Sus scrofa: one gene and its partners. The protein of the gene in region 3 binds, or shares a complex with, the protein of the main gene of each other region. Links are inferred from orthologs where the notes say so. Each region holds a gene or a part of one and is shown on either strand. Other genes may lie near its edges.

Region 1 (2,914 bases), on a different chromosome or scaffold from region 3:
TTCTTTTCAAATGTTTCATTTTTTTTTTTGCATTAAGCCCATTTTCCTCCTGTCTGTGTTTTTATTTACATATTTTAAAGTACATTAAAGGCTGTAAAAAAGCAGCTAATTTGTAGATTGAAAAGGGATTCCAGTTGTAGCATCTGTAACAACAAAAGAAGCAATCTGAATATATTAAATTGTAGTCCCACATTTGAGCATATTATTTAATTTATTCATAACTAACTTTGTCTTTTACCCTATTTGTCATTTAAAACTAATTGATAATCATGACTTAAACACAGTATGAATTTTAAATAAGAGGTGCAAAAGTTAGGTGTGAGAAAAAGTTCAAAGTATCAACTGTGATGTGTATTTGTATTTTTCTCTGTTCACCCTGTAGATTTTGCATTAACCATTCTGAAATATTTGAGTCCATGTTACAAATGAAGAGGATAAGATTTAAAAAGGGACTAGGATGTGGAGAGGGAAAAATATATATTTAAAGGAAAGGGCAAGGGAGTGAAGAAAAATCATAAGGATGGATGATTTTCTCCCAACTTGTGCTTTTAGAATCAGAATTAAGGGTTTTTTTTTTTTTTTGATATTCTATTTGAATACTCAGGATTTGTAATTTTATTATTTCTTTCTGAGGTATGGGGAGAATAGACCCTGAAATTTTTATAACCTATTTTCAGGCTTATGTACACAAGAGTGTAATGGAAGAACTGAAGAGAATTATTGACGACAGTGAAATTACAAAGGAAGATGATGCTTTGTGGCCTCCTCCTGACAGGGTTGGTCGGCAGGTTTGTATTTAGTAATTCTTTATTTTTAAAATATTTATTTATTTATTTTTGCTTTTTAGGGCGGCACCCGAGGCATATGGAATTTCCCAGGCTAGGGGTTGAATTAGAGCTATAGCTGTGGGCCTATGCCCCTATGCCACGGCCACAGCAGCGCGGGATCTGAGCCGGCGTCTGTTGCCATACCACAGCTCACATCAGTGACAGATCCTTAACCCACTGAGCAAGACCAGGGACTGAACTCGCATCCTCATGAGTCCTAGTTGGATCATTAACTGCTGAGCCATGAAGGAACTCCCATGTTTAGTAATTCTTTAAATATGTAATAATAAAAATTGTTAGTATAATTGTTATGTTTCTCCTTATTTGTTTAGACTGGATCCTCACTGAGTTTTGGGTTTTCCATTTAGTAGGCATCTGGTAAATACTAATTTTATTTCACTTTGCCTTATTTTCTGTGCTACTCCTATAAGTAAAGGAATCAATGCATAGCTGTCAATTAATGCTTTCTGAACTTTGCAGCTGCCCCAGCTAAAGTTACAATGTTTTTCACACTATTATGAATCATTTCTATTGTAGGTTAATTACTTTTATTAGGAATAATAAATTCATAATTAATACAATAGGAAAAAAACACAGGTGTTTGTTAAATTTGAGCATTAGGATTCTCATTAACTACCTAAAATTCACTTTCTTCAGATTTATAACTTTGGAAATTCTTATTTGCCCCAGAGAGGGACTTGATTGGTTTCTTTGTTCAAACTAACCATTGCCTTTCCCTCTCATATTCCCTTCAGAAAAATTGATGTTTCTCAGAGGGCTGCTGAAGAACTCTGAAGGCCTAATTTCACTCTATAGAAAGACAGTTTGATTTCTGAATTGGGTCTTTTCACCTCTTGGAGAAATGAGATATGACCCCAGGAGGAAGAAACATTTAATTTCGCTGTTGTATATTCCCAAGGATTATACTGTTTAACAGCTCCTTTGACTACAAGAAAATGTGGAGAAATCTAACAGATGCTGACGCTCTGTAGCAGTAACTTAACACTTCTATTTAAAGAAACATTATTTAAGAAAGCAAAGGTAATAGTTATCAGTATTTTATGGGCTGTAAATACTTTTACAAAGTAAATTTTGATCTTTTTGTCTTATGCAAGTATGCATATGCATTAAAAATCAAAAACTATAGCAACAAAGCTTTTATCATCTCTTAGATTGAGGGAAACCCAGTGTTTTCATCTACTCACTTGATGTGTTCATGCGTTTTAATTAGTGGGGAGGATTACTCATGCTCTAGAAATTGTCTATTGAATCTTTAAGACAGACTTTATGACCGCTAGAGAGCCTTTGTTAAATCTCCATTTTGTGTGTGCTATGAACGGTGCTAATTAGGTCTTCTGATCAAGCGTATAGCTAGGAGTGTCTTTAATGGCATCTGTTAATTTAAACTGAAAAAGCTGTTAATTTAAACTGAAAGCAGTTATAACTTTTTAATTTTTCATTTTAGATTTGCAGATAAAATTTGGAGAAAAATTTATACTGTAATTTTGGCACGCCGGAAGCATCTGTATTATGTTGCATTTGTTTTATTCTTAATTGTTTTCTGAAGTCAGAAGACTATGAATTTCTTAGTCCTATGATCCAAGGTTCAGAAATTTGTATTATCATTTACTAGTGATTGTAAATATCAACGATTTTTTTCCTCTGCTTTGGCAGTCTTGAATTTCACAAAATTGTGCTAATAAAGCCTACCCTTGTCAGGGTTTTTAGCCTAATTTTAAGGATTACAGAGAATGTAAAGTCCTTGGCATAGGCTCTAACACACAGTAGGTGCTAAAGTGGTTCTGTTGTTAATATTATGCAATGTGTCTGTAGAGTCTGGTAGGAAGGATAAATGTATTTATCATATTTAAAGTAGACTTATACCCATAGTATTAATTTTTATTGACATTATAAAGAACATCCCAGTGTCACTCTGAAGTATATCATTCATTTGATTGTATCTTCTTTATGGCATCTCTGGAGAGCAATTTCTTTTTCATTTTTTCATTTTTATTGAAGTATAGTTAATTTATAAGGTTGTGATAATTGCTGTACCACAGAGTGATTCAGTTATACATGTACACACA
Region 2 (3,500 bases), on a different chromosome or scaffold from region 3:
CATTTCAAGCTAATGAAGCTTGGACTTTGCTAGGTATGGGAAGATGCAAGAGTCTGGGCACATTGAAATCGTTTCTTTGATAAGCGCCTTAACCATTAGGGCTAATATCCTGTTTTCTCCATCCTGCATCCCCTCAGGATGCACCATGGGAGGCATGGGGGGCTTGGAGGGTGGTATGGCTGCAATGGTTTGACTTGACAGCAGCAACATCCTTTGTTTACTCTTAAGTCTGGTGACATTCTAGGTCCACAATAGCCTAAAGTGAAAAACTGGAAAGACTAGTACTGTTGAAACACAAAAGGTATAGATAGTGAAACTGTTAGACACTTTAAAGGGAAAGTTGCGATACATTTTAAGCAACTGAGGGTCTTGGTAGGCCAATGATGCTTTATTCGTATCTTTTTATTACATACTGAATTTGTTTTTTTTCCCTTCACAGGGAAATTGAGATATGCCAACAACAGCAATTACAAAAATGATGTCATGATCAGAAAAGAGGTAATGAGTCTTCTGAGAGCCTTTCATTCACTACCATTTAGCCTTTTGTCTTGTTTGTATTCTCTCTGGGAATATTATTGAGAGATAAAGAAGAGGAAAGTGTGGGCATATTTGTAGACAGCTTCTAAGTTTTTCTCAAACCTTCTTGTAGTTTATGTTTTCTTCCACAATACTTAATCAATTACTGGTAATCATTTGAAGTCTTGCAAATCTTAGTTTGAACCCTGAACCTGCTGCTTAGACTGTGTGACCTTGGGCATATTTCCTGGTTTAATTTGTTAAGTCTCAGAGTTTTTTTTTTTTTTTTCCTTTTCTTTTCTTTTTTTAATGAATTTTATTGTATTCATAATTGTACAATGATCATCACAACCCAATTTTATAGCATTTTCATCCCAAACCCCCCAGCACATCCCCCCACTCCCCAAGTCTCAGTTTCTTGATCTGCAAAAAAGAGAAAACCTACTCTCCCCCTCACTTGAAGTGTTTTTTGTTTCTTGGGATTTTTTTTTTTTTTTTTTTTTTAGGGCTGTACATGTGGCATGTGGAAGTTCCCAGGCTAGGGGTCAAATCAGAGCTACAGCTGCCAGCCTGTGCCACAGCCACAGCAACGCAGGATTTGAGCTGCATCTGTGACCTACACCACAGCTCACAGCAACACTGAATCGTTAGCCCAATGTTAACCCATTGGGCGAGGCCAGGGATTAAACCTGCAACCTCATGGTTATTAGTCAGATTTGTTTCCACTGCGCCACAATGGGAACTCCCACCGAAAGTGTTTTGGTATATTCCCTGGTACCTAGCACTCCATAGAGCTCTTTTAATTTGCATTTGAATGGGGACCGAGCACATGGGAGAACAGTTAGCATCATTGAATGCATGTTAGATGCCGGGCATAGCACTAGATATTTTACACCTGTGGTGTTATTTTAACCCTTATTCTAAGCCTGTGCGATGGGTGGTATTATATAGCCTTTTACAGATAAGGCCGTGAAGGCCCAGTTATTAATTATGGGGCTTGTTCAAAGTTACCCCTCTGGTAAGAGATTGAGCAGGAATTCAGACCTATGCCTGTCTCTGTCAAGTCCATGTGCTTCATTTTGGCATGAGTTCTACCCCATTAAGGCTTCATCACAGTTATTCTTTCCTTTTTGTCACTTCGCCACATTTGAAAATGTCTTAACAGTTAGTATATTTTCATACTATTATAATTAGCATTCAGTTTTATGTTCCCCACACATGTCCGCATCCACACAGTTTTTTTAAACATGAACTAATATGTAAAATGTATTGCAAATGACATGTCTCTGTTTTTCAGAAGTATGTTATTTACTTAAGAATAACCAGGGGTACTTATAGATTTTTTTGTTTGGGGCTTAAGTGTCAGTTTAGTAGGTAGGCAAAGGGCAGGTCCATTGAACAAGATGAGTCAAGAAAGAGAAACAACTAGGTGTGGGACTGAGGTGTAGTCATTTGGGCCCTTCTGACCCTGCTTTCTTGGCATGCTGAGGTCAAGCTGGAAGGTCTTCCCACTTACAGAGGTGCCAGAAATAAGTTTTCATGAGCAGTCTTTTTTTAATCTTTCACCACTCTCTGAGTCAGAATGCTGCTTAGGGATAAAATTTAAATGCTGCTTTTTAACTTGCTTTCAGGCTTATGTACATAAAAGTGTGATGGAGGAACTAAAGAGGATAATTGATGACAGTGAAATTACCAAAGAGGATGATGCTTTGTGGCCTCCTCCTGACCGAGTAGGTCGGCAGGTGAGTGTTTTACCAACTGTCCACAGTGCAGAAATCTTAACAGATAAGATGAGATTTATTGTTCTGCATGTGACATGGATGCTAGTCAGATTTGTTTCTGCTGAGTCATGATGGGAACTCCAAGTTTAGGATCTTTACGTTTGCCACAGGCTGCCTGGAATATTCTATTCCAGACTGTCTGTTATTGAGGTTTCAAGTGCATTTCCTCAGTGATGTCTTGCCTGTCCATTCAATCTAAAATGCCTTTCCCCATTAAAAAAAAAAAGTATGGGTTTTGTCTTCATAGCCTTTTTTGGGGGGGGGGGGCTGTACCTGCAGCATATGGAAGCTTCCAGGCTAGGGGTCCAATCAGAGCTGTCGCTGCCGGCCTACACCACAGCTCATGGCAACACTGGATCCTTAACCCACTGAGCGAGGCCAGTGATTGAACCCATGTCCTCATGGATGCTAGTCTGGTTCGTTAACCGCTGAGCCACGACGGGAACTCCCGAGCATGCATAGCTTTTATCTTTATCTGAAATTGTCTTGTATCCCTTTTTCTTCTCTACTACAACAGACATAGACATACATGTGCAAACTCCTTCAGTACAAGGATTTTACCTGTTTTTTTCCCCCACTGCTATATTTCTAGTGACTAAAATAGTGCCAGTGTATAGTAAAAACTCTATAACACTTATATTTATTAAGTTAATATGAAAACTCATATAAGCTTACTCTAGTTAATCTCAAAACGATGGGACAGCTCTTGAGGAAGAGTGAAAAAAGTCCATCCTCAGTGCTTAAGTTAACTTATTATGTCCATGAGATCTTAGTAAGACCATGTGGATGTATTTTGCTTTAGGATTGATAAAATTTTCAACTGTATTAATTCATTTAACATTCACAACTGTTCTGTAAAGAGAGCAAGGCATACTGCCATATACCAGCAACATCCTACTGGATAGTGTAATTAAAAACAAAATTCTATTCATAATAGCAACAAAAGCTGTAAGTAAAGTTGGGAGTAAATTTAACAAGGTGTACAAAACTTAAGGGGAAGAGCTTTATAGAAGGACATAAAAATATGTATCATTTTTATTGTTGGGAAGACTCAGTATTATATCAATTTTCACCAAAATAATTTACAAATTCATTGCAATTCAAATCAAAATCACAATAGTATTTTTTTCCTAGAGCCTAACAGAACATTAGAATTCATGGAAGAACAAAGGGGCAAGAGTAGCCAAGATAATTTTGAAGATT
Region 3 (3,500 bases):
AAAAATAAAAATAAGGAGTTCCTGTTGTGGCGCATCGGAAACGAATCCAACTAGTAGCCATGAGGTTGTGGGTTAATCCCTGGCCTCGCTCAGTGGGTTAAGGATCCAGCATTATTGCCCTGAGCTGTGGTGTAGGTTGCAGACAAGGCTTGGATCAGGCGTTGCTGTGGCTGTAGTGTAGGCCGGCAGCTGTAGCTCTGATTAGACCCCTAACCTGGGAACTTCCATGTGCAGCAGGTGCGGCCCTAAAAAGCAAAAAAATATAAATAAAAAATAAATATTTCAGCTAACATCCTAAGAACAAGGACATCCTTGGAGTTCCCATCATGGCTCAGTGGTTTGCAAAAAAAAAAAAAAAAGGGAGTTCCCGTTGTGGCGCAGTGGTTAACGAATCAGACTAGGAACCTTGAGGTTGCGGGTTCGATCCTTGCCCTTGCTCAGTGGGTTAACGATCCGGCGTTGCCGTGAGCTGTGGTGTAGGTTGCAGACGCGGCTCGGATCCCGCGTTGCTGTGGCTCTGGTGTAGGCCGGTGGCTACAGCTCCGATTCAACCCCTAGCCTGGGGACCTCCATATGCCGCGGGAGCGGCCAAAGAAATAGCAACAACAACAAAAAAAGACAAAAAAAAAAAAGGACATCCTATCACGCAACCATAATACGATTAGTGTTGACCAGTCTTAACATCCTGCTTAAAGGCTACCCTGACATGTGCTTCCTGATAAGATGCAGCAGGAACTGCACACCACCGCCTATGAGGTATTCTCACCGGAAATTGAGATGATGAGGGGGCTGCCTGTTTCGGGGAATAGAGTTTGATTGGCACACAGCCAGGCTCATTCTTTTACATTTGGTCTATGCCTACATTCCTGCAACACTTACTGGTTGTGACAGAGACCATATGGCCCATGAAGTCTAAAATATTTACCATCTGGCCCTTTACAGCAAAAATTCGCTGACTCTGCTCTAGATATGCAGAAAACTGCCGGTTTTTGAGGAAACATAGAAGGTAGAGGAACATGTTAAAAGATACCATAGGGACATAATAGCCAATCTGGACAGTTAGAAGCTCTACATGACAAATTTGTTTCTGCAATAAATAAATGGTAGGAAAACAAAAGGAGGAGGAATTGTTTGGGTTAAAAGAGACTTAAGAGGACATTTCAAGCAAATATAATTTGTGGACCTTGTTTAGAGCCTATAAAAAAGATTGAGACAAGAGTTCCCGTCGTGGTGCAGTGGTTAACGAATCCAACTAGGAACCATGAGGTTGCGGGTTCGAGCCCCGGCCTTGCTCAGTGGGTTAACGATCCAGCGTTGCCGTGAGCTGTGGTGTAGGTCACAGACATGGCTTGGATCCCACATTGCTGTGGCTGTGGTGTAGGCCTGCAGCTACAGCTCCGATTCAGCCCTAGCCTGGGAACCTCCATATACCGAGGGAAGCGGCCCTAGAAAAGGAAAAACAAACAAAAAAAGATTGAGACAATTGGGAAAATCTGAAGAACTGGTAAGATGTTAGGGAACTACTGTCATTCTTTTTCCTAGTCTGAAAATGACATTAGGGTTATTTTATTAAGAAGAGTCTTTAGGGAAGTCCCTGGTGGCCTGCTGGTTAAGGATTTGGTACTTTCACTGCTGAGGCCCAGGATTCAATCCCTGGTCTGGGAACTGAGATCCCACATCAGGCTGGTGCTCACCACTGCCAAAAAAAGTCTTTACTCTTAATACTGACATATTTAAAGAAGAAATGATCTGTCTAGGATTTGCTTGAATATAATCCAGAAGTGGTATGATGGATAGAGTGGAAAGAAGATTGGCCATGAGGTGATAATTGTTGAAGCTGGGTGACAGGTATTATGTTGTTCCTCTGTTCTACTTGTGTGTATGAAATTTCTACAGTACGTTAGTAAAAGGACCCCCACCAAGAATGAAAAAAAGGTGCAGTTAAAGTTCATCTTTAAAAATTCTATAACAAGCAAAAAGTTAGCCCTTTCTTTTACACTTGCAGGAAGAGAAAAAAAATCCTCACGAAAATGAACAAGTTTAACAAAAAGCAGCACCTTGTTTCTTATGCGATCTCTCTTAACCACTTCTTCTTTCTTTTCAGTTTTTTCTGAGCTGCCTACTGGTTCTGTACTTTCAGTCTTCTTGGCTTTATCCCGAAGTGCTTCTTTCTCTTTTTTCATTTCTTCTTCTTTCCTTTTAAAAGCCTTCTCTTTCTCATAGCGCTCCTTCTGCCTGCGGCGCTCCTCTTCCTGCCGCTTCAGCCTCTCTCTCTCCCGCAGTATGCGCTCCTGGTCACGCTCATAATCCCGCTCCCTCTCCCTGTAGTCTCTGCTGCTCTCATCTTCAGGTCTGCACAGAAAACAAATCTGAGAATGCACCCCCGAAGATCTTCGAATCACAAATGCAGGAACACTCTGATCCTGATCTGGCCACTACAATGAGGTGGTACTTTTCGAGCAGCATTAAAAAAAAAAAATGCTAGTATTTTGAAAAACAAACACCCCAAAAGTCAGTCACCCAGATTAAGATGCTAAAATATTTGAAACCTGTCCTCCTCATTCCCCTACCCCTCGTAAAACTGGGAATCTTGATTCAGGTACAAGTCCAGGACACAGCAGTAAAACTAGCCACCTAGAAACATATCAAAAACAAATGTACCAAAGAGCCCTCGACTACCGACCTCTTAGGCTTTTCATCTTTAAATTCACCATCAGGACGCTTGGGCAGTGTACAAGTTTGCCCACTGGCTCTTTCATCACTCAGATTCTCTTTGTCCAATTTTTTGACCTTTTCTCTTTTGTCCAATTCTTTTTCATCTCCTTTTTCTGGCTTCTTGAGCAGCTTTAAAGAGAACAAATTTAAGTTTATTTTGAAGGGTGGGACACTGTCTTCTGATTCTGCCATAGAAAACAATATACTAAATATTTTCAATTTGGGCTAAAGAAGGCCCCTATCTCTGCAGGTACTCTTAAACTTTCAAGTGAACAACTAGGGCAGGAGAGCAGTAATTTGCTAAAAGGATGCTATTAATGTGAAAGTGTTATCCACTCAAATAAAGTGGTTTAATCACTTTGTGGCAATAGGATCAAGACTCCTTTGGCCTTAAATGGGTCAGCTTTTAAGTAAATCAGTGCACACTTCCAAGTATCACTTGACAGAAAAATATGCCACAAATTTCAAATGCTAGGCAGATCATTACTGTTGGACTATTTGCATGTAGTAATTAGAATGACAAATACCTTGGCCACCAAAGGAGAGATCCATTGCAGGAATAATCTTGCCTTGAGTCTGAGAGCAGTAACATACTTATAATGGTATAATCATATTATCATTAGAGATGAAAAGCAAGAATTACTTGGTATTTGTTTTAAAAATCCAAGTACCTCATATAACAGAACTGTGAAGTTCCATCTCTACTGAATAGGAATTCTGCTCAATGTCATATATATATATATATATATATATATATATATATATATATACACACACACACACAC

What was found.
Region 1: UPF3B (region 3) and MAGOHB share a complex: the UniProt entries of both Homo sapiens proteins name them as parts of the mRNA splicing-dependent exon junction complex. The link is inferred for Sus scrofa from reciprocal best matches to the Homo sapiens genes UPF3B and MAGOHB.
Region 2: UPF3B (region 3) and MAGOH share a complex: the UniProt entries of both Homo sapiens proteins name them as parts of the mRNA splicing-dependent exon junction complex. The link is inferred for Sus scrofa from reciprocal best matches to the Homo sapiens genes UPF3B and MAGOH.

Annotation. Positions count from the first base shown.
Region 1 is NC_010447.5:61,428,699-61,431,612, forward strand, and holds part of MAGOHB (protein mago nashi homolog 2), read left to right. Parts: intron 1-677; coding exon 678-788; intron 789-2,914. UniProt on the Homo sapiens protein: Required for pre-mRNA splicing as component of the spliceosome. Plays a redundant role with MAGOH in the exon junction complex and in the nonsense-mediated decay (NMD) pathway.
Region 2 is NC_010448.4:158,991,172-158,994,671, forward strand, and holds part of MAGOH (protein mago nashi homolog), read left to right. Parts: intron 1-439; coding exon 440-498; intron 499-2,147; coding exon 2,148-2,258; intron 2,259-3,500. UniProt on the Homo sapiens protein: Required for pre-mRNA splicing as component of the spliceosome. Plays a redundant role with MAGOHB as core component of the exon junction complex (EJC) and in the nonsense-mediated decay (NMD) pathway.
Region 3 is NC_010461.5:98,189,136-98,192,635, forward strand, and holds part of UPF3B (regulator of nonsense transcripts 3B), read right to left. Parts: intron 2,845-3,500; coding exon 2,684-2,844; intron 2,353-2,683; coding exon 2,058-2,352; intron 1-2,057. UniProt on the Homo sapiens protein: Involved in nonsense-mediated decay (NMD) of mRNAs containing premature stop codons by associating with the nuclear exon junction complex (EJC) and serving as link between the EJC core and NMD machinery.